Tamandua tetradactyla: one gene and its partner. The protein of the gene in region 2 purifies or fractionates together with the protein of the main gene of each other region. This does not show direct contact. Links are inferred from orthologs where the notes say so. Each region holds a gene or a part of one and is shown on either strand. Other genes may lie near its edges. The genes, in order: SNRPA1 and U2SURP.

What was found.
Region 1: the proteins of U2SURP (region 2) and SNRPA1 purify together in Homo sapiens (affinity purification with mass spectrometry; 5 studies listed by BioGRID and IntAct, with this or other methods). This does not show direct contact. The link is inferred for Tamandua tetradactyla from reciprocal best matches to the Homo sapiens genes U2SURP and SNRPA1.

What each region holds. Positions count from the first base shown.
Region 1 is NC_135338.1:83,232,151-83,244,449, reverse strand, and holds the start of SNRPA1 (U2 small nuclear ribonucleoprotein A'), read right to left. Parts: upstream 5,619-12,299; 5' UTR 5,521-5,618; coding exon 5,439-5,520; intron 3,592-5,438; coding exon 3,444-3,591; intron 2,546-3,443; coding exon 2,467-2,545; intron 758-2,466; coding exon 711-757; intron 1-710. UniProt on the Homo sapiens protein: Involved in pre-mRNA splicing as component of the spliceosome. Associated with sn-RNP U2, where it contributes to the binding of stem loop IV of U2 snRNA.
Region 2 is NC_135341.1:87,246,949-87,259,231, forward strand, and holds the start of U2SURP (U2 snRNP-associated SURP motif-containing protein), read left to right. Parts: upstream 1-6,641; 5' UTR 6,642-6,724; coding exon 6,725-6,769; intron 6,770-12,283.

The DNA of each region.
Region 1 (12,299 bases), on a different chromosome or scaffold from region 2:
ATTACAAGATCTTGTTGTAGGCTCCATGTGTTTAGATTGTTTAAACGAACTGGCCAGACAGGTTAGAGTGTGTGTTGCAGAAAACTTAAGTTTGGATAAATAAACAGTTCTTCCTTTGGTCTCATACAGCAGGTGAAGTTCTAAAATACAGACCATATCATCTTTTATCCTGTATTCTGATTTACCTAAGTCCCAACCAGATCAGCTTTGTTCTTATCTCTAATTGAAATCTGGTTTCTTTTTTGGCTTCTTTAACAGTAGCTATGTGGAGGAATGCTGACTTTCAGAGCTGCAGAACTCCACCTCCGAGTCTTAGGTGTCACATACGTACCCAAAGTTCCAGAGAAATATCAGATTATATCAGGTTATACAAAGATAGTACCATAACTCAGAATTTAGAAATAAGACTTAAAGCTCAGAAATAAATGTGAGTGCTGTAAGAGCTTACAATGTAGGCTCTTATAACTATTTTCTAAAAGAGACCATACAATCTCTGTCCTTTTGTTTCTGGCTTATTTTGCTCAACATAAGTCCTCAAGTTTCATTCACCATGCTGCATGCCTCACGACTTTGTTCCTTTATGCAGCCACAATTTTCAATCATTTTTAAAAAGATACTTAAAACAAACAAACAAAAAAACCCTGATTGCTTTAAGGTCAAAATAAATGTGTTATTATTAAGGACCTCAGTATCACAAATAATATCCATACCTTAGATAAGTCAGTGACTTGAGAGATGCCAAAGGATCCAGATCACCCTGTAAAATATCCGCCACAAGTAAGAACAACGCACCATTATGAAACTGTGAAATGTTGGGCGCTTTTGGAGCAAGCACCCATCATATCTTTTATTATTTTTTGTTGTTGCTTTAGCACCTAGCACCATACTAGCACATCACAGATGCTTAATAGACAGTTATTGAATGGTTAATACATTCTTCTTAAATCTAAAATTTTTGGAATTTATAGCTGTGTCAATATCAGAAGACAAAAAGTTTTTCTTATACTGAGGAGAAACTACTGAAATAGAACCAAATCAAGTAGCACAGAGATAAGAGAACCAATGAGATAAACTAGAAACAAAAGAGGTGGGGAAGAGCTACGAGTTCTGCTTTTGTAGGCAGAGAACAGATTTTTGAATACTTCACAACCACTACCAAGAGAGCCCTAGAGTTTGCCTCTAGCATACCAACACTAGATGAAACCTAAAGGATGATTCAAAAAGGAATAAAGAACAAAAAGTGGCAACCTCTTTTTTGTTTTTTTAACACATATACACAATGACTGTATAAAATACAATGATGATGGTTTGTGAGGTTTTAAAAAAAGATAAATAACATAACAAAGCTGGGGGACAGCTGAAATGTTTCAGTTTCCTATTATTTAGGAAGATTAGTTAACTTTATACTTTTGACAAATACACATGTTTTAATTCAAAGGTTGTTGACAAGAACAGAAATAGAGTAAATAATTTCTATTAGAAGGAAAAGGAAATGATCAAACCAAAACAAAACCACACAATAAAAACCCAGCGAACAAAAGGAGGAGAAAAGAAATACGGAATGGGTGGAACAAACAGAAAGCCCCAGAAAAGAGAAAGGACAAACGCAAACTCAAATATATGGTGATTACATTAAATATAAATGGACTAAATACTTCATCTAAAAGTGTGACTTCAGATTGAATTTTTTCAAGAGACAAATCTAAAATACAAAGTTCAGAAAATTATAGAGTAAAAATTTTAAAAGGATAAAAAAACAGGTCAAAATAATCATATCTACATAGAGAAAATGCTCCTTATCTCACACAAAAACCAGTTACAGGTGGACTGCTGAAATGTGAAGGGTAAAATAAAGTTTCTCAAGCAGAACTGTCCAGCACAGGTTTAATGTATGTCACTTATGTAATTTAAAGTTTTCTAGTAGCCACATTAAGACAGAAAAAAGCAACGGGTGAAACAAATTTTAACAACATATTTGATTTAACCTAATAATCAAATTATTACTTCAACATGTAATTAATATGTTAAAAATTATTGAAATGATTTCCTTTTTTTTTTTTTGCAGGTAGTCTTCAAAATCAAGCATGTATTTTACATTTCTAGCACATTTCAATTCAGAATAACCACATTTGACTATTGGCTACCACGTTTCTTCAAGACCCCGGGATAGGAAAAGCATCAACACATTGTCAAAGAAATACATTAATAAATTGGATTATACTTAAATTAGAAATTTCTCTACCAAGAAACCCTAAGAGAGTGAAAATTCAAGTCGCAGTAGGAGAAGATTTTTGTAACCCTTATAACCAAAAAGGGTTCAGGACCTGAATTAATTCAGAAAAGGACAATGAAAAAGGATAAGACAATCTTCTATGAATTTTTCTGGCTTTATCAAATTTCTTATAGGAAGGATATAGTACCTTTAATCTCACCCCCACCCAAAACATTTCCCCCCATTCATCTTACCAGTTCCACAAGACTGTTGTTGGTGAGAATGAGCTCCGTCAGACAAGGCAGAGCCTGGTCAAGTCCCTCACCTATGCGGCTAAAAGAAAAAGACTCTTAAAATTTAGTTAGCTAAGAATTTTATCTAAGTTCTTGCTCAGAGGATTTCAGACTTCACAGTTAAAAGGAAACTTAGATTCTTTTTCCAAAACCCCATCTGACAGTAGGGAAATGAGGCACAAAGAGAAAACTTCGTAAAAGGTCTTGGATTAGTACCAGAACTGGGAGGATTTTAGTACATAAGCCTTGTGAAGGCTGCCTAGAGCTCCTTCCACTGGCACAATACCTAGTGAGAGTGCATTTCATGATTTCTCTGTGCAGACAGCAAAGAAATACATGATTCTGCATTCATAATTCAGGTATAAGACGTTCAAAACTATACCACAGGGAATGATAAATTTATGAGAAATATGTCTCAACAAGGAGACCTTCTTAAAGACATTATCTGTATACCTGGTATAAATTTTCTTCTATAAAATTTACACAAAGCTGACGTAGGGTCACAAAGAGATTTCAATTTCAGTAAGTAATATTCTAGAAATCCATTGTAATTAAAGAAACATAAATAGCAGAGAATGTGAGGTAAGAAAGAGTTGTCTGAGCAAAAATATAATTGCTGAAATTATATATTCCTTTAATGTGATCCTTTTCATTTTTATAATTATTGTTTTAGAAGCCCAAATGTGTACCATGAAGCATGTTTTAAATTTAAATTAAAATGTTACCATGAATATATAAATTTTCTACATTTCTAAAACAGATGCATATAAGATTAGACCAATGCCAAGTTAATCTTCTGGATCTCTATGAGAGGAGTGCAGGTCATTTCTCACATTAAGAAGAAATAAACAGATTTAACCAGTAGTATGCATTACAATCTCTTCAGGGATCACTGCAACATTTACTCTTGGGAAAAATTACTACTTAGTAGAAAGTACCAGATTCTGTTGTTGTTCACTAGTAATGTTTTCAGTCTTCTCAACAGAGGAAAACCATCCAGTTTTCTGATTTCATTGTCAGAAAAATCAATAGCATCAAACTGGTCTAAGGTAGCACCAAGATTTTCAATTACAGGAATTTTATACCCTGTAACATTAAAAATAAACAAGAAATATCAAGCAAAGGAATTAGAACTGTATCATAATTAAAAGTTACCTTAAAAAATTAACAATATTTCACAGTAATTTGACTGAAGGCTTTCATTCATTCAAAACTATTTACCTAACGCCTACAACATGCCAAATAGTGTGCTAGGTAGTGGAGATAAAATGTCAAACAGTCAAAGTCCCTGTGGCTATGAAACTTATAATCTAGTAGTGAACATGGAGATGCTGCTGCAGCTGATGATGAGGATTACTTATTATTACTAATATTTGTAGCAAACATCTGTAAGAATATTTATAAGGTACCCTGTACTATTGTAAGCAGTACACATGATTTGTTTCATTTAGCCTCAAGTTTTTTCATCCCCTGTAACAATAAAATGATGCAAGGTGTTAATAATAGGGTAGTATATGGGAATCTGGTATTTTATGCCTGATTGTTCTATAAATCCACAATAAAACAATTTCAAAATGTAATTTAAAAATAAAATGAAACCGAAGCTCTGATTTAATCAAGGCTCCAGAGCAAGTTATGCTTTTAGCTGACTATTAGTACCCAAGCCTTGTTTATACTATGTGAAAAACAGCCCTCAACCTCTTTTGCATTCCAACAGGCTAGATTCAGCAGGATATCCTACTGATGTGTTTGTTTCTGCTTTCTTCATTTCCCCCAGTTCCAATGCAGAATTGAGGGTCAACAGCTTACACACATTACTACAGCATACTATGAACCATTCACTCGAATGCTCACGATTGGTCTAATATGGGCAAAATTATCATGCTAGATGTTAGAAGAAGAAAGAAACCCAGTCAGGAATAAAGTACACAATTTGGAACTGTAAGAACTACATCAAAGTAGGTACTACACCAAAATAAATGTTTTCAATACTGGGTGCACCTCAGAATTTAGAAAGGTACCACGAATCTGAAGACAGTAAGTTACCCTTGAACTGAACCTTTCCCTAAGAAAGGTGATTTCAACAAAATAAAAGCACTGGGACTTCCCAATCAGCAAAGAAACTAATAAAAAAGCAGAGCCTGAAGAAGTGCTGTTCCTGAGACCGGTCTCCATGTGGAAAAACCTTAGACCGGGAATGGATAAACTTCACCCCAGAAAAGATCACATCTTTTCGTTACATCCTTTCTAAAGCAGTCATGCCTTCCTCGGCTGAGATATCTACATGAACCTCCAAAGTTTGGAGAACACCCTGTGGTGGTGGCTGGAAACATACCCCGCAGCAAGCTTGGTGAAACAGCAGAATGAATTTTTTAAAACGTTTTGATGAAAAGGAAACTGAAGGAACCTAAAGCCAGTAAGAAGGAAATACCGCGGAAAATAAGCAATCGCTTTTGTTCCCGGAATTGGCTTCCCTCGTCATAAATTATGGGTAATCACCATATGCCCCACCTACTCCCACAGTATCATTTCAAAGTATTTAGCGAGACCCAACCATCCGCCGTGCACTTGAGTCACAATCATTACTAAGTATATAATTCTCGGCCCGAAAAAGAGCTCGGATTGCGAAACGCCCCAAACAAGGTCTAATAGAGGTCCACGGGCATGGACAAGGAAGCAATTAATTCGGCCACGTGTGTGCGAGTAGGATAGGGACTGCAGAAGTCTCAGTGGTGCCTAACGGAAGGCTCCTTTGGCGGCAAAGGCAAGAATCGCCTCTAGGTGCCGGCTCACAGAACTCGATGTACCAGGAACTGCGCTCGGCGGCGGGCGGAGGCCCCGACCGCCTGGGCGCCCAGAATCCAGGCCGGAGGCGGGGCGCCAACACGTGGCCAGTGAGGTCCAGGGACGGCCGCCCGCTGCCCCGAACTCACCCCGTAGGTCTAACTCGCGGTCCCGCACAGCATTGGTATACTGCGCCGCCTGCTCGATCAGCTCCGCCGTCAGCTTCACCATCCTGCAACACTCCCGCTTCCTGGCGCTTCCTAGCGCCAAGGCCCACTGCTTCTCGCCGGCTACACTTCCCAGTGTGCCCCGCGCCCTCCTCCAGACAGCACCAATCGCAGCCGGCGGGTGCGCGCGCATCTCGACGCCAGGCAGAAGCAATCGAAGGACCACGCCCCCGGCTCGTTTTCTAAGTTCCTGCCTGGCGCTGCTTGAGGACTCCTTGGGTTCTGCGTATCTTGTCTGGTGGGCCTCTGAGACCAGAGAGCTGTCTCCGAAAGTTAAGCAAAGTGTGAAAGCACCTCTGTGGAGCTTTCATATACATCAGTGGAAAATGAGAGGGGAAGCTATGACCATCCATACTCCACCCAGGAGGGCGGGGACCTCTGAGGTTCAATGTAGGGAGGGGCTGCAACTTCACATTTCCGTCCTAGTCCTGGGCTTTGGCTGTTGGGCTACAGTGTGGGAGCCAGGGCATGGTTACCCCCTTGTGGCCAGACTGCTGGGACAGCCCCACTGCCTGACTTCCCACCGGGCACCAGCACTGTTGGATTTGCGGTGTCCAAAGACACTGGCGTGGTTTGTAGTTAACAGCATTTTACTCGGAACACCAGAAGTTTGGGTGCAGCAAGGAAGCCTGAGCACGGGTAAAAACAGAGGCAGCTTCCAGCTTCTAAGAATGGCAAATGATTTTTACAGCCATAAAAAGGAGGTTAGGTTGACTCCTATTGATTGGACAGGGGTTTGTTCCGCTTCGAGGGGTGGGTTTAGGGCAGGTGGGATTTTATTTTGTATTGCGGCAAATGCAGTAAACCAGTTGATTGGCTTGCTTGTTTACCTGGGTCAGCCACCATGGTGGGGATTTCACATTTCAAAAGACAGCAAAAGGAAACTCAAGAGTTTGCTCAGAAAAGTAGGGCGCAGGATTTTAGCGGTGGCTAGGCCTGTGGTCTCTAGACATTTAAAACTATATATGTAAGTATGATATACAGAAAAGTGCACAAATCATAAAACTGCGGCATGATGAATGACCACAGAGAAAACACTACTACCTAAGTGCTACCCAGGTTCAGAAAAAGAACATTTTCCTGAGAACTCCTTGCCCAACCCAAAGAAAACAGTGAACCGTAACAATGGGTTAGTTTCACTTACTTAATTTTATTTTATTTTTGTTTTTTGTGTAACATAACATATATACAAAGCAAAGAAAGAAAAAAGCAATAGTTTTCAAAGCACTCTTTAACAAGTAGTTATAGGATGGGTCCCAGAGTTTGTCATTAGCTACCATACCATCATTTCAGATTTTTCCTAACTCCTCCAGAACATTGGAGGCCAGAAGGAAAAAAATATTTTTTTATCATCACAATAGACTTTTTTTTTGTGAAAAATAACATATACAAAAGCAAATTTCAAAGCACAGTGCAACAATTAGTTGTAGAACAGGTTTCACAGTTTGGTATGGGTAACAGTTCCACAATTTTAGGTATTTATTTCTAGCTGCTCTAAGATACTGGAGACTAAAAGAAATATCAGTATAATGACTCAGCAATCATACTCATTTGTTAAACCCTACCTTCTCTGTATAACTCCACCATCACCTTTGATCCTACTTCCACTTATTAGGGGTATTTGAGCTATGCCCATTCTAACTTTTTCATGTTGGAAGGGGCTATTAATAATATGTAGGGACACGGAACTAGCTGATGTTTTGGAGAGGCTGGCTGCTCTGGGTTTCAGGACTTATCTGGTCCAGGGGTCCATCTGGAGGTTGTAGGTTTCTGGAAAGTTACCCTAGTGCATGGAACCTTTGTAGAATCTTATATATTGCCCTGGGTGTTCCTTATGATTGGCTGGAGTGGTTTTGGTTGGTGTTTGGCAAGTTATGATAGGTAGCAATGTTTAACTGCACACTTTCTTTCTTAAAAAATTTTTAATTGAGAAATCTTCACATGCATACTTTCTATACATGGTGCACACAATCAGTGGCTCACAATATCATCACATAGTTGTGTATTCATCACCATGATCATTTTTTAGAACATTTGCATCACTTCAGAAAAAGAAATGAATAAAGAAAGAACTCATACACACCATACAACTTTACCCCTCCCTCTCATTGACCACTAGTGTTTCCACCTACCCAATTTATTTTACCCTTTGTCCCCCTTATTATTTATTTATTCATATGTTTTACTCATTTGTCCAAACCCTGGATATAAGGAGTATCAGACACAAGATTCTCACAATCACACAGTCACATTGTAAATGTAATATCTTTATACAATTGTCTTCAAGAATCTAGGCTACTGGGACACAGCTCAACAGTTTCAGGTACTTTTCTTTAGCCACTCCAATACACCATAAACTAAAAAGGATTATCTATATAATGCATAAGAATAACCTCCTGGATAACCTCTCTACTCTGAAATTTCTCAGCCACTGAAACTTTGTCTCATTTCTCTCTTCCCTCTTTCGGTCAAGAAGGCTTTCTCATCTCTTGATGCCAGGTCCTGGCTTATCCTAGGCTTTCTGTCCTACGTTGCCAGGGAGATTTACACCCCTGGGAGACATGTTCCACGTAGGAGGGAAGGCAGTGAGTTCACATGTTGAGTTGGCTTAGAGAGAGAGGCCACATCTGAGCAATGAAAGAGGTTCTCTGGGGGTGACTCTCAGGCCTAATTTTAAGTAGGGTTAGCTATCCTTTGAAGAAATAAGTTTCATAGGGGCAAACCCCAAGATTGAGGGCTCAGCCTATTAATTTGGTTGTCCCCACTGCTTGTAAGAGTATTAGAAATTCTCCAAATAGGGAAGTTGAATATTTTGTCCTTTCTCCCCATTCCCTCAAGGGGATTTTGCAAATACTTCTTTATTTACTGCCTAAATCTCTCTGGGATTTATCAGGGCATCACACTAACCTAGACAAACGAACAAAATCTCACTCCCTATTCAAGATTCCAGGTATTTATGGTGTTCAAATAAACTGACCATAAAAGTATGAGCACTTGATATAAATGGAATTATGCAGTCTGCTTTTATGCTCAGTTTCTTTGGTTCAGTATTATGTTTGAAATTCATGCAGGTTGTATCTAGTAATGCTTTTTCTGCTGCTGTATAGAATTTCATGATATGTCTTACACTATAACATCCATTTTACTGTTGATGGACAAACTGGGTTGTTTCCAGGCTGGGGCTAGTGTGAATAATGCTATGAGTTTTCTTGTACATGAATCTGGTGCACATGCACATGAGTTTCTCCAGGAGTGGAATTGCTAGAACAAAGGGTATTGTATCATCGCCAGGCAATGCCTAACAGGTATGCCAAGATTGGAATAATTTCATTCTAGCTGTGTGTAAGTGTTTCCAGAACTTCCAACCTCAGCCTCACTTGACATTGTCAGTCTTTATAATTTGAGCAATCCTACTGGGTATATAGTAGTTTTGAATTATTGCTTTGATTTTGCTTTTCTCTAATAACTAATGACGCTGAGGCCTTTCTCATGTGTATACTGTCCATTTTGATATCTTCTTTTGTGAAGTGCACATTCAGGTCTCCTGCCAACTCTTCCTATTCGGTTGTCTACCCTTTTATTATTGATTTATGGGAATTCTTTATTCACATAGACTGGATATGAGTACACTCTGTGGTTTATCTTTTTTACTCTTATTGGTGTTTGATAATTAGAATAATTTTTTTAGAAGTTTGCAATTTTTATGTAGTTTCCAATTGATCTTTTTCATTATAGTTAGTGGGTTGTAAGTATCTGTGTGTGAGTGTGTATGTGTCTTGTTTAAGAAATCTGTCCTAATCTCCAACATATTTTCCTATGTTATCTACAAGGGGCTATTGTTTTACTTTCCACAATTAGCTCTTTTTGAACTTTTAATTGAAGTATGACTATATATATTATATATATAGTACAGAAGAGTACAAACCAAGCACACCCAAGCAACTAGCACCAGATTTTGTCCTCTTCCAGTCACTACCCTTGGCCTAATGGTAACCATTATCCTGCCTCTCTTTGCATAGATTGCCTACTTTTGTATTTAAACAAATGAAATTGTACAAATTAAATTGTACCTCATGCATATTTTGCTTAACATTATACTTGTGTGTAGACGTAGTTCATTTTTTCTCATTTCAAAAATGGAGTGTTTCATTGTATGAATTTTCCACAATTTATTTGGACATTTGTGTAATTTCAAATTTGGAGCTAGAATACATTATGCTTCTATAAACATTATAGTGTATATATTTAAGTGAACATATATACTCATATATCCCTAGTAATGGAATTGCTTGGTCATAGGATTTACTTATGTTCAGCTTAAGTAGGTAATGCTAGTTTTCAAAAATGGTAATGCCCATTTGCACTCTAGCTAACATTTGGTATTGTCTGTCTTCTTAATTTTAACCATTTCAGTGGGGTAGGTAGTGGTGCTGCACTGGGGTCTTAATTGTATTTCCCTGATTACTAATGCAGTTGATAATTTTTTTTTTTTACATATGTATTGGCCATTTCCTTATGTTCTTTTGTAAAGTGTCTGTTTAGTTCTTTTGTCCACTCTTCTATTGGATCTGGTTTGAAACTGTTATGTAATCCATCCATTTCTGGTATATAGCATTCTGGCAGCTTTAACAAATTGAAACAGATTTTGGTACCAGAGAAGTGGGGTGCTGCAGTTTTTGCAATATCAAACATGTTGGGTAAGGGGAAGATTCTGGAAGAATTGTGAGGAGGTGAATAGGAAAGGCCTGGATGGCTTTGAAGAGTCTGTTGGTAGGAATTTGGATGCTAAAGTGTCTTCCAATAAGGCCTTAGATAGAAATGATGACCATGTCATTGCCCACTGGAAGAAAGGTGACCCTTGTTTCACAGGGGCAGAGAATTTGGCAAAATTGAGTCCTGGTATTGGCTGGGAGGTAGAATTTGAAGGCAATAAGCTTGGATATCTAGCTGAGGAAATTTCCAAACTAAATGTAGAAAATACAGCCTGGCTTCTTCTTGTAGCTTATTGTAAAATGTGACAGGAAAGAGATAAGTTTAGAACTGAACTCTTTTGGAGAAAGCAACTGAAAACGTAGTTTGGAAAATTCTGAGCTTTTGGAAAATGAGATCCCAGAAAATACTGCCCTACGTGAGGATTTAACCAAACATGGAACCAGTCAGTCATTTCAGAAAAATCCAGGATTGGGGATGGTGTTATTCATATAGGATTTGTGGAAAGTCCTATTGTCTGATGGGTTTTACTCCTGTATGCTGCATGCCAAGTCAACACATTTTTTGGTGAGATCTGTATAAACAGAAGCACTGCCAGTCTGGACTAAAAGGGACAGATTGAAGGAAAAATGACTTCAAAGGCATAACCATGGAAGCTAAGGTCTGGAGCTAGGAAATCTCAGGCCAAGGGAACAGATCCACCCATGCACATGGAGAGGGTGAGTGTGCCCTGGAAGCAGAGGGCTGACCTTCTGCTTCATTGTTCAGGAAGAGTTTTGCTGCCTCAGGCCTCAGAGAGGGTGGAGCATATGCCCTGGAGAATGGGGGAGCCTGGTGACCACCCCATTGTCCAGAAGGGATACAGCATGTGCCTGGGAGATGGTAGGAGTACCGCCCTGATGCTTGGAGAGGGTGGAGCTGAGAACAAGGTGGTCTCCCCAATACTTGGATACGTTAAAATCTTCACCCAGTGTTTAGAGAGAGAAGGGCCACTGTGTAAATCCCTGGAAAGGGATTTTTATAAGTGGGACTGCTGCTTTCTCAAGCCTAGAGGATAAACCATCATTCTACTAAATGATTCTCAGAACTTAAAATCAAATGGAGTTTGCCCTGTTGTTTTCAGAACTGTTTGAATCCCGTGACCCCTGTTCTGCTTTCAGATTTCTCCCTATGGCAATGGGAATGTTTATCCTATGACTATCCTCCTTGTGTACTGGAAGCAGATAACTTGCACTAAGTTTCACAGGTTTACAGCCAGAGGAGAATGTTGCCTTAGGACAGACCACGGCTGTAACTGACTTTGGTGAGATTTTGTGCTATTTTTGAGTTGATATTGCATTTGTATCACTCCTGATATGGTTTAAGCCTTTTGTGATATTGTGATGGAATGAATGTATTTTGCATATGGTACAAACATGTCTTTTGGGGGTCCAGAGGGTGGAAAGTATAGGTTTAAAACTGTTATGTACCCTAGAAAAGCCATATTATTTTAATCCTAATCCAATTTTGTGGGGGTGGAGGTATTATTTGGGCAGGATCTTTTGATTACATTGTTTCCACGGAGATGTGACCCAACCATTTGTGGGTGGGACCTTTTTTTTTTTTTTTTTTTTTTAAAGAGATCATTTTATTAGTTTTTGTTTGTTTGTTTGTTTTTTTTTTTACATGGGCTGGGGCCGGGAATCGAACCGAGGTCCTCCGGCATGGCAGGCAAGCACTCTTGCCCGCTGAGCCACCGCGGCCCTGCCCTGTGGGTGGGACCTTTTGATTAGATTATTTCCATAGAGATGTGGCCCTACCCACTCAAGGTGGGTCTTCATTAGTTTACTGAAGTCCTTAAAAGAGTTCATGGAGAGAGAAGGCGCTCAGAGCCGATACAGGGAGCAGACGCCTAGACACAGACATTGGGAGATGCTTAGAAAGCCGACATAGAAGGCCACTAACATCTGAAGCTGAAAGCAGTGCAACCCGGGAGCAAAGGACAGGAGATGCCAGCCACGTGCCTCCCCAGCTGACAGAGAAATCCAGGACGCGATCAGCCTTCCCAGAGTGAAGGTATTCTCTTGCTGACAC
Region 2 (12,283 bases):
GGCATTTTCCTTCTGCATCTCCAAATGTCTCATGTTGGTTCTGCCCACTTTTTTTTTTTTTTTTTTTTTTAAAGAAAGAAAGACAGAGAAGGAAGGAAGGATGGAAGGGAGGAAGAAAGGGAAACATCTTTAAACATTTTCGTTTTTTATTATATTTTGTTTGTTTGTTTGCTTTTTACATGGGCTGGGGCCGGGAATCGAACCGGGGTCCTCCGGCATGGCAGGCAAGCACTCTTGCCCGCTGAGCCACCGCGGCCCGCCCGGTTCTGCCCACTTTTGAGGTTTCTCCAAAGTGTTTCCCCCTTGAAAGGACTCCAGTAAACTAATCAAGCCCCACCTTGAATGGGTGGAGTCACATCTCCATCCAATCAAAAGGCCACACCCATAATTGAGTATGTCACATCTCCATGGAGAAATCTAATAAAAAAAAGCCCAACCACAATTGAGTGGGTCAATCTCCATGGAAAGAATCTAGTCAAAGTTTCCACCCTACAATATTAAATCAAGGTTAAAAGAAACATGGCTACCCCCACAAGACTGGACCAGGAAAAAGGACACGGCTTTTCTGGGACATATAACAGCTTCAAACCAGCACAAATGGTGTACTGAAATTTCCCACTGTTATTATTGAAATGTCAATTGCTCCCTTGAATTTGCCTCTTGTACTTTTGAGCTCCTTGATTAGGAGTATAAACATTTATGATTGCCATGTCTTCTGTGAATTGTTCCTTTTATTAATCTATAGTGTCCTGCCTTGTCTCTTATGACATTTTAACATTTAAAGCCTATTTCATCCAATGTTAGTTACCTCTGCTTTCTTTTGGTTAGAGCTTGCATAGAACATCTTTTTCCATCCTTTCATTTTCAATCTTTCTATTTATATTCTTAGGTCTAAGATGAGTCTCTTGTAAGCAGCATATAGATGGAGCATATATTTTAATCCATTCTGCCAAACTATATCTTTTAATTGGTGAGTTTAGTCCATCAACATTGAGTTTTCACTGCAAAGGCAGTCCTTGAATGTACCATCCTATCCTTTAATGTTTGTCATGTCTATATATTCTTTCCCCCTCTCTTATATGTTAGCCTTACCACTACTCTTCAACTCCGTACTCTCGTGCACACATTCCTTTCGCCTTTTTTTTCTTTTTTCAGTTGACAAAATTCCCTTTAGTGTTTCTTGTTGGGCAGCTCTCTTGTTGGCAAATTCTCTGTCTTTGTCAGTGAAGATTTTTATCTCTCCTTCAGTTTTGAAGGACAGCTTGGTAGGATAAAGAATTCTTGGCTGGAAATCATTCCTATTCAAAATCTTATCATACCATTGCCTTGTTTTCACGGTGGCTCTGGGGTAGTTTGAGCTCAGTTTTATGTGATATCCCTTATATGTAAGCGAATTGTATTCCCTTGCTGCTTTTATGACTTTTTACTTTTCTTCAACATTTGACATTCTGATCAGTATGTTTTGGGAGTAGGCCTATTTGGATTTATTCTATTTGGGGTTCACTGGACTTCTTTGATTTGCATACTTACATCTTTTATAAGAGTTTAGAAGTTTTCTCCCATTATCTCTTCAACTAGTCTTCCTACCCCTTTTCTCTTTTCTTTCTGGGACACTGATAATTCTTCTATTTGTTCACTTCATGTTATTTATCATTTCCTGAGATTTAGTTCCATTTTTCTTGTCATTTGTTCTCTTATGTATTCACATTCAGTTGTCCTATCTTCTAATTCACTATTCTTTCTTTTGCCTCTTCAAATCTGTTGCGTTCAGTATACTTTTTTCAGTATATACTTTCACCTCTATGAAATGTGCTATTTTTCTATTTATTCTTTCAAATTCTTATGATTGTCCAGTGTCTTCGTAATATCTTTTATGTTCTTATGAACATCCTCGATTTAGTTGTTCCAAACTCTGCAGCCCCTCCGCTAATAGTTAGCTCATTTGACTGAGCCATATCTACATGAGCCTTAACGTGCTTTATGATCTACTGCTGCACATGGGGCATCTAAATGTCTTAATAAGGTTATTTTGCAAGTTAATTTCCTTCACACATCTATGGTTTCGTATTCAGATTTGCACTGAAAGTCCCTGTTCTAGTTTGCTAGCTGCCGGAATGCAACACACCAGAGACGGATTGGCTTCTAATAAAAGGGGATTTATTTTGTTGGTTCTTCAGAGGAAAGGCAGCTAACTTTCCACTGAGGTTCTTTCTTACGTGGAAGGCACAGGATGGTCTCTGCTGGTCTTCTCTCCAGGCCCCTGGGTTCCAGCAACTTTCCCTGGGGTGACTTCTTCCTGCATCTCCAAAGGCCTGGGCTGAGCTGCAAATGCTGAGATGAGGAATGCCAAGCTGCTAGCAGTGCTACGTTGCAATCTCCCATTTAAGCACCAGCCAATTAAGTCAGACGTCACTCATTGCAGCAGACAGCCTCCTAGCTGACTGCAGATGTAATTGGCAACAGATGAGGTTCACGCACCATTGGCTTATGTCCTCAGCAACAGACTAGGTATGCTCACCTGGCCAAGTTGACAACTGAATCTAACTAACACAGTCCCCTTTAGGACTTTGTCAGTCCTTCCTGTCACATCCCCCCACCCCAAAACCATGTTAGGATCTCATGTAGGGGTTGCAATTCTCCTTAAAGCTCTATTGAGAGTTAGGCAGATGGGCAATTTGCCTGACTGCACTTTTTGCTTCTTCCTAGCAGATGGCATTCTTGAACCAACTCATCCCCTCAGGCCCACCGGTCCTTGAGGGGGCTAAATTATTTGGAAACCTGATGCAATTCTAGCCAGGGCCCACTGCTTACGTGCCCAATGGTTCAGGTGCCCCTCAAACTCCCACTTTGCATGATCTTGGGCTGCACATCTGGGTATTTCAGGTGCCCTTGCCCACAGCCAATCTGGGAATGTCTGGCAGGTGGTCACTGCACACAGTTCAGCAACTCCCTCGGCCTTGACTCTGTCTGCTGTACTCTTGAGGTCTCTGGGCCTCCATGGGAAAGGGGAATGATATTGGGACCCAAACAATTCCCTCTCTGGCTGGCTGTCAGACCGGCAGCACTCGGTGCTTCTCCCTCCCTGAGGGAAGGCCCTGTAGTCTCTGTTGAAATAAACCAGGTACCTGCAGCAGCCTGTCTCAGGGGTGGGGAGCAGGCACTATGCTCTGGCTAATTGATCTTTGTATGTGCGCTGGTTTGAAGCTGTTATGTACCAGTCAAAAGCCATATTTTAATCCTGATCCAACCCTACGGGGGGCAACTGTTTCTTTTAATCCTGATTCAATAGTGCAGGTTGGAAACTTTTGATCAGATTATCTAGAGGAGATGTGACACGCCCAACTGTGGGTGTTAACTTTTGATTAGATGGAGATGTGACTCCATCCGTTCCGGGTGAGTCTTGATTAGTTTACTGAAATACTTTAAAAGGGAAAACATTTGGAAGAAACCTCAGAACTGATGCAGAGTCTTGAACAGTTGCTTCAACTGACAGAGCCAACATAAGACCCAGATGTTTAGAGATGCAGGGCCCAGCAAACATGGTTGTGTGCCTTTCCGTGAGATGCTAAGCAGGCCAGAACCCAGAATTGTGTCTTGGAAGAGCTAAGTGAAGGCCCACAGATGCCAAGTGAGGAACTCCTACAGGAAACAGAAGCTGAAAGCAACAGAGCCCAGGAGTAAGGGACCAGCGGATGCCAGCCACGTTGACTTTCCAGCTAACAGAGGTGTCCAGACAACATCAGCCTTTTTTGAGTGAAGGCAGCCTCCTGCTGGTGCCTTAATTTGGACTTTTTCTTGGCATTAGAACTGTAAACTTGTAACTTATTAGATTCCCTTTTTAAAAGCTGTTTCATTTGTGGTATATTCCTTTCTGGCAGCATTAGCAAACTAATATGGTATGCAGGGAAAGCAAGTCTGTCAACTTCTAAGGACATCCCGCCCCCCCAGCCCCCCAACTCCCAGCTTACAGAGCCTTAAGGGAAAATCTTCCAAGCCAGCTGCCGGAGGCAGATGAAATTGTGGTGGAGCTCACTCACTCCATTCTCTCATTCCCAAATCTCCACTTTTTTATTCAGGGTCTCCTTAGGTAGAGATGAAGACCCTCTCTCAACACTGACACCCTGGAACCGCTGTCTGAGTCATTTTTCAGTCCCTTCTCTTATTGTTGCACAGGACCAGGGTGAACTCAGCCTCTCTTATTCTGCCATCTTGCTGGAAGCCCTCCATTTGGATTACTTTCATGCTACCTTAGCCTCTCCAATCTGTGATTTGAGTACAGGATCAAGTTTTCATGATTTAAATTTATCAAGTAGAACTCTGCTTATAACCTTGTGAGCTTTTGAAAATCCAATTAACTGGGCCTTAATAAATACTGTATCAGTTTGTTATGCCGCTATGACAAATATCACACAATGCTTGGAATCTACTGCTTATGGTTTTGGAGCCTAAAAGGCTTGCTTCCTCCCAGGGCTTGTAGCCTTTCCATGCTGGTTTGCTTCAATCCTGGGGGTAAATTGGCTTGAATCCCTGCCTCACAGCAACTGGCAATATCCTCTCCTTTCTTTTCTGGGTTCCCATTGACTTCCTACTTCTTCCTGTGGCCTTTTCTGACTCTGGCTTTCGGTTTCTTTCTCTTTATAAAATCTCCAGTAATCCAGGTTAAGACCTAATCTCAATTTAAGTGGGCCACACCTTAACTAAAAATAACATCTTCAAGAGATCCTATTTACAATGGGTTCCACACACACAGGAATATGAATTAAGATTTAGAAGGTGTCTAAATTGGGATATACAATTCAATCTATTACAAAGGCCTATCTTTATATTACTTCTTGTCAGGTCAAGGTCACATTTGTCTGATTTGCTTTGGGATTTATGGCATGAAAAGAAGAGAGGGAAGAATTCTGTGCACTTCTATTTATGTTTAGTGAAGATTATTTTAAGCGGATTTTGGTGATTTGAATAAAAAGCACGCATAAATTCACCTCAAAGTGACAACGCCAGCCTGACACACTGCCAGAACACCCCCAGGCTATCCTAATCGCATTCCTTCCCCTTGATGGTTTCACTTTCCATTTCTCCACTGTAGCCAGACAATTAAGATCTAGTATGATGAGCTCCTTGAGTGGGAAAGTATAGTTTCTACCGAAATAGAAGCAAGACCTCTAACACAGTCTTGGTGGGGGAGGGAATCTGCAAGGCTTCCCCCAAGAAATGACATCTTCAATAAGAGTAGAAGATTAATTATACTTCAAAAACGGGCAAGGCTGAGGGTGCGGAAAGAGCCCCAGAGGTGAGAAAGTGATAAGATCCAAGATTGGGAAGAGGTTCACCTGGGCTGGAGGACAGGAAGCACTCTATTTTAATTCATGCGCAGCACTATGGCACCTATCACTTTCTGATGGCATGCTTTGTTTACTTGCTTAGTGACTATCTTTCCATATTCCTACCCTATCCCCTTATACAGAACCGGATGCCTGGTCTGCAGTTTCCTTGGTGCCTGGCACATGATTGTGAACCTTTTCTGAGGACCTGCTATGGGTCACATCCTATTCTAACTCCCATATCCTCCCACCCCCACGCCGCCATCCAACAGACAAAATTCTACTTCTTCCCAGCTGATCAAATCCTACCTTCTCTGGGAAGCCCCCTCATTTCTTCTCCACCCAGCCCTTACCCTCAGAATTATTCATTTGTGTTTCTACAGCATCCGATCCTTCCTTGCAGCACCCATATCTTCAGTTCGTCTCCCCTAACTTTTGAATCTCACGCAGACGGTTTTATTCATCCCCACGAACCTCAGAACCGTCCGTGCAGGGTTGTGTCCGCAAGTCGGGTCTCAAACACACTGGGATAAACGAATGCGGGAGAGAGGGTCCTGAACCCCTCTCCCCCTTCCAGACCTGGGTCTCCGCACGTTACAGCCTCCACCGTTCTCAGAGCTTTTACAACGACAAGGCGACCCCCGCGCAGCCCTGCCCGACCCCGCGGAGGCGGAGGGTAACTGCAGCCGCCCGCCCGGGGCCGGCCCCCCGCCTCACGCCCGGTCGACCGGCCTCCGCTTCGGGTCGCCCCTCGGCCCGGCTCGCCTCGGAATCCGGCCCTGGTTAAGAGCGGTAAAAAACCCTAAGTGCGGAAAAGTTTACGGCGCTTTTCATGGACGTGATAAAAAAGGAAAACAACGATTAAACCTCAAAGCGTCATTTCAGGCGACACAGGGCCGACGTATGCGGGCTGTGAAGGGCCGTCCAGGTGCGCCGGGTCCTCCCGCGCGCGCTGTCCGCAGGTTCTCGGCCGGGGCGGACCGGACCGGGCCCGCTGGCCGCCCCGCCGGGCTCTTGGCCGGGCCGACGCGTCTCCGTCCCGCCTTCCAGGCGCGGGTCTCCACACCGAGCGCCCCTCCCGCGCGCGGGCTCCACGTTCGACTCGCGCGGGAAGCCAGGGCGCCACCCGCCCTGCCCAAAGGTCACGACGAGGCGATCCTCTCCGCCGACCAGCCCAACATCCCCGTGAGACGCGCGGCCGCCGGGAGAGACGCACGGGCCGGGCGGGGCCGGACTCCTCCCGCGACCGGAAGACACGGGCTCGCCTCCGCCCGCACTCGATGTCTCGGCCATCCACTCCTCAGCCTCGCAGGCGCTCTGGCGGGCTCCGCGGAGATCCGCTCTTTCGGCGCTCGACTCGCCGCGCTGCCGCCGCCGCCGAAGGAGGGGCAAAGCTCAAGATGGCGGACAAAACGCCAGGCGGCTCTCAGAAAGCCAGTTCAAAGGTAATTTTTTCGAGAACTTCGGAAGCCTGTGGGTCTGTCACTGTCGTCTGGGGCCTACGCGCGCTTCTGTTCAGCGGAAGGCGGGCGGGGTGACGGTGGGCGTTCTGGTGGCCGCGCCAGACCCGGGCGCTGCCGGACCGTGGTGCGCAGGTTGAGAGGCCTGGTTGCGCCCCTGAGTCCCAGCCTGGATTCGGCTCGAGACTGGCGGGCCCGGGGTGGGAAGGAGGGGGCCGGAGCGGTTCGGCCCGCCCGCCCTGGGCTCCCGAGTGGAATGTGGAGTTCAGGGTGAGGTCTGAAGCCTCGAGGACGCGCTCCTTCCTGTATCTTAGCTTGTTGCGCCCCGAGACCTCCAGAAAGTCTGTGGGAGAGGCGGGAAACGCCTGTGTGGGTGCTTCTCGGTGTTTTAGTTTTGGGTGTCACATTCTTCCGGCCTCGGTTAATATTTCCCATGGCCTCTGGGGAATAAATACTCTGTAGGGCCGCAGGTTGCGCGGGGAGGACGAATAGTGGAGGGACGCGAGAGGGAAGTGCAGAGGCGGGATGTGCACTGCTGCATCGCCAAGGTTATTGCTACACTCCACACGTGTTCTTTACCTCGTTTTCAAGGAAGTACAAGTATTTCTCTTGAGGCTCGGAGATTGGGGGCTCTCCGTCATCTCCTTTTGGTGTGTTCCACCGAAAGGGGAGCAAACGTAGTGTTGGAAGACACCTAAGATTAGTACGGTGTGTGTGTGTGTGTTTACCGTGGTCGGCGTGCACGCACTGTGATTAGTAAGGTTGTGGTTAGCATCAGGTCTTCTTTGCCATCTTCGGCTGTTAAGTTTTGTTTTTTTGTTTGTTTGTTTTTTTAACATGGGCAGGCACTGGGAAGCGAACCCGGGTCCTTTGGCATGACAGGCAAGCGTCCTTGCCTGCTGAGCCACCGTGGCCCCTGTTAAGTTTTTTGATGCCCGTGCAAGAAGTTGTGAACCCACTTTACAGATTCTGAGGATAGTTGTATCTTATTTAAAGAGAGTGTATGATTATGGGTCGGTTATTAAGAAGTTAGCAAATTTATGGTAGAAAAGATAAGCTTTGTGTTTACAATGTGTTCTAAGAAATAGAGTACCCCATTTTATACTTTCTTTTTCAGTTTTTATAAATCTGAATCTTTATACCATTTGGTGAATCATGTTCTTAACTGGCTCTACTTAGTAATGGATTAACCAGACATCCTTGAGTTATGTAAAAACTGGTAGAAAGCCATTTTGGGCTGCACAGTATCAAAGACATTTACCCCATTTTAGTTTTCCCTCTTCCCAGTACATTTCCCCTTCTTCGGTGAGTGTGCAGGTGGGAGGATAGGTTGATTCCTCACTCCCTCCCTACCCACTCTTTTCTGTATATTCATGACGAAAAACAGCCCATTTATTATTAGGGAGACATCACTAAAGCTGATTACATGTAAAATAATCTCTCATGCATATGGTTCACAGTTTTGTTTCTTGTTAAAGTAGTATTTTAAGTATCTCCTATTTAAGACCCTGTATACATTGAAAACATTTCAAAAATTGGGTTAGAGAGGTGAATGGATAAAGTGGAAGATACTTTTGACTTCCTTGGATATCTGATACTGAATTATTTTGGAAACGATGCTAATCAGCTGCCTTTGCTGATTAACAAAAAGTACAGCTTTTAAGAGATAAGTAAAATAAGGTTTACTTTAAGACCTGTGATCCTTAGGTATTTTTTACTACCAATGTACATTTTTTTGTGGTACCTAAAGAAATTTAAAATTGAAAAATATGATGAAAAACTCCAAATAAAATGTAAGTCTTGACAATTAGGCTCTTCGTATTTTGCCAGTTTTAGTTTAAGTCTTTACCATGGTGTGGTCGTAACTTACTTTACGGTATAAGATGTTTGGTTTTTTTGGGTAGAGGGTGAAACTATTAACTTCAGTTTTCTTGATTGGTGCTTTAGAAACTTCAGTATCTGTAGAAATGATACTGAAGATGACCTGCTTTTGCTGTGGTCTTTAATTATAGTTGAATAAAATAGGGGCAATTATTCCTTATCTTACTGGATTCAGCTGATCTCTGAAAGTCGTTTTAGTTTTCTTTTGTTTTTTATTCCTGAAGTCATGTTTTCCCTGGAAAGGAAGTCTAACAAAGATACCCATTTTTCTTAAAATGAGAGAAGGGATTATTTGATTGCAAGTCGAAGACTCCTGCATTTCTGCCCCCTTTTACAAATAGTATAATTTTTGAAATAAAAATTAAAAACTTGCTATAGGATATCAAACTCAAAAACAATATTCAACATAGATTTCCCCTTCTGCTATTATTAATGGCTTCAGCGTTTTGTTGCAGACCCGCTATGTGCTAAATATTTTGCTGAAATAATGTATTTGAAAGGAAGATGCATTTGCCAGTAGCACTTGAGGTATTTACTGTTATCAGTTGTCTCTTCCCTGAGAAGTTAATTTTTATCATTGGGTCCTTCCTCAGTTAAGATAAACTAAGGACATTCAATATACACTTGTAACTTTTCATGTATTGGCAGTGCTTGAGATGTAATTTTAAAAGTCATTTCAGGTTTGTTATTTATTTTGCGTAGTTCATGCCTCATTGATCTTAAAGACGTTTGGCCCTGGATACTGGTAGCTGCCACTTGTTAATGAGTGTACAGCATAGTATGTGGGTAGTGTGAAGTTTAGTTTTGTCTGGGAGGTACTTGTTCTGGCAGATTAAGTCAAGTATGTTGAGGCTTTGTCACTTCCCAGAGTTTGTCCTTGAGAAAAATGCTAAATGAGACTACTCACTTTGGGGAACATGCTCTCTAGTAGAAGTCAACACACATAGTAGGGTAAGGCAGAGAAAGGGTTCAGGAGCATACTGGCATTTGATTGCTCGAGTCATTTTAACAATGAGCAGAGATTTGAAGGGTAGAGACAATAGTATAAAAAAAGACTGGTGAGGTGAGGGAAAATAAATTGTTGAAAAATGGTTTGGTAAATATTTTGGTTTATGCCCTGGCTAAAGGGCACTTACAAAGGGAATAAAAGGAGCTGAGACTAGAAAAGTAAGTTGGGGCCAAATTGTAGAGGACTTTGAGTGCTAGGGAATAAAATTGGAGAGCCAGGGAAAATTTGAGTCAGGAAATCTTCCATGAAAGTTTTTTTCTGGGGGCTGAGCTCAGGAAGGATTTGGTGGTGAGGAGGACCACTTTGGAGATACAGATAAATATTGAGGTTTGCTTTAAAATCTCACCTTAGATCCTCTCCGGAAGCTAACATTTCTCTCCCTTCATTAAGATTCTGTGCTCTAGTGGCATAGCCACTTCGTTTTATTTGTATTTCTTTTTAAATTAGCTTCCTAGGGTAGGGGCTATGTCTTATTTTACTTCATATCTCCAATGCAAGGCCCAGCACCAGCCTCACCAGAGGTGTCCCAAAAATGGTTGGGTGCAGGGGAGATCTGAACCACCATGTTAATGTCAGTAGAAAGAGAAGAGCTGGGATATATGGAATCTGACTACCATTTGGTTATGAAAGGTAAGGCAGGTGTAGCAGTCCAGGATGATCCTGTTACAACACTGCTCCTCTTGCTGCTGGATAACACTTGTTAAGCAATTACTGTGCAGGAAGCCCTCAGAAGAATGCTTCACAACAGTCCTATGAGACAGCTTCTATTCACTTTCACAGATGAAGAGATGAGGCCCAAGTTTACAAAGTTAAGAAGTGCTACAACCAGAATTCAAACCCAGGAAGTCTGGCTTCAGATTCCGTGCTTTTAACAACATTGTTCTACTTCCAGATTATGATGGATTGAGAGTTATGACCTGGGTCAGAAACGAGAAGGTCAAGAAGAGAAGCTTATTTGGAAGGAATTTTGGACAGGTTGGATTTGAGGAGCATGTAGACATACACAGGTGAAAATATTCAAGATTGGAACCTAGAGATCGAAAGGAGCCGTCTCAGCACAATAAAAGTGTTCATGAACTCCCTTTGGGAGAAATCAAACTTGTGGAGATGAAAGTTGGTGCTTTAGAGAGTGAGAGGAAAAAGAAGACATTTAGGAGAGAGGTATATGGGAATGAGATTTGGCTAGGCAGAAAGGTGGTGTTGGAGGAATGTTGCTGTGGATAGCTTGCTAACTTGAGAACTGTCTGTGGGGCTTTCACTTGAAGTGAAGTAGGGGCAGCAGGGAAACAGTGGTTTATATATTCAGCTCGCAAGATACAGGACCGTGTATTGTAGTTGATTTCACCTTTATCTCCTTTTTCCTTTTGGATTTTCTTGCAGTCCTCCACGTTTATTCTGTCTTTTCTATCCTGAGATAAATTCCTCTTGTCTGCTTTTTTTTTTTTAATTACTTCAGATCTTCCTTGTTCTACCTTTTTGTTTCTTGCATTTTGGTCTCTTTATTTTGATAAGGAATTATGCTGTAGATGTCAGAGGATATTTAAGCATTGTTAATTTTGTGTTCTTTAGTTAAAAGATGAAAACCTAAACACAAAGCTAATCATGTGGTTCAGTTCCAGGTTAAGAATAGGGAGACTTGTCTTTTTGATGTAGTTTTATATCTACTATCTTCCCTGCACTCAACCATTTATATCTACTTGGACCACTCACTTTAGAAATAGTTTATTACTTCTCTAAAATCTTACTATTTGCATCTCTCTAATTGTTCTTAGCCCAAAGAAGTTCCATTCTGAAAGCTTTGTAGCTATAGCTGCATATCAGGGAGAAATATCTCTGGTTTGCAGCTAACATCACCAATGACACCTTAGGTTAATTTAAATCAGTTGGTACAGCTTCCTAAACTATGCATTTACTTACTGCTCAACTTGTAAATTCATCAAATTATGTTATTTATAAAGCTGACAGAAATGCTACTTTTGAACTTCTGTTTTAGAGAGTATTTACCAGTTCAGTGGATACTTATGCACCTGAGATTCTTGAAAGCTGTATCACAGAGCTTCATCTGAATGATTTGGAGTCAGGAAAGATTTAGCTATATAGAGATAGGCAGAATGTCCAGGTTCTTGTACCTTTTGTTTTTAAATTTTAGAATTAATGATTTAGATATAGTGGCATAGAAGATGAAAGAAAAGTAAGCATTTGTATCATGCTTATTCTTTTGGGTGAACTTTAGAATTATTTTGGCAATCTTCTTGCCCCATTGTAAAGATTTCCCTTTGGGATTTTGAGTTGTTGAATGAAATTGCATTAAATATGTAAATAAATTTGGGCATAATTGCATCGTCTTAATAGTGAGTTTTTCCATCCAGAATATGATGTGTCATTTCAGATGGTGACTTGACTAGATGAATTCTTCAGTAAAGTGTGTGCTTTCTTCACACAGGTTGTGCACCCTTCTTAAGTTGGCTCCTAATTGTTGCTGTTATGATTAAGATGTTATTTTTGTTGCCTGACATGTCTGATACAACTAGAAAGCAGTGTGTATTTTTTTCAGCCCATTCAGCTTCTTAACTGAATGTTTTTTTTCCCTTTGGATTTTCTAAGTGTCT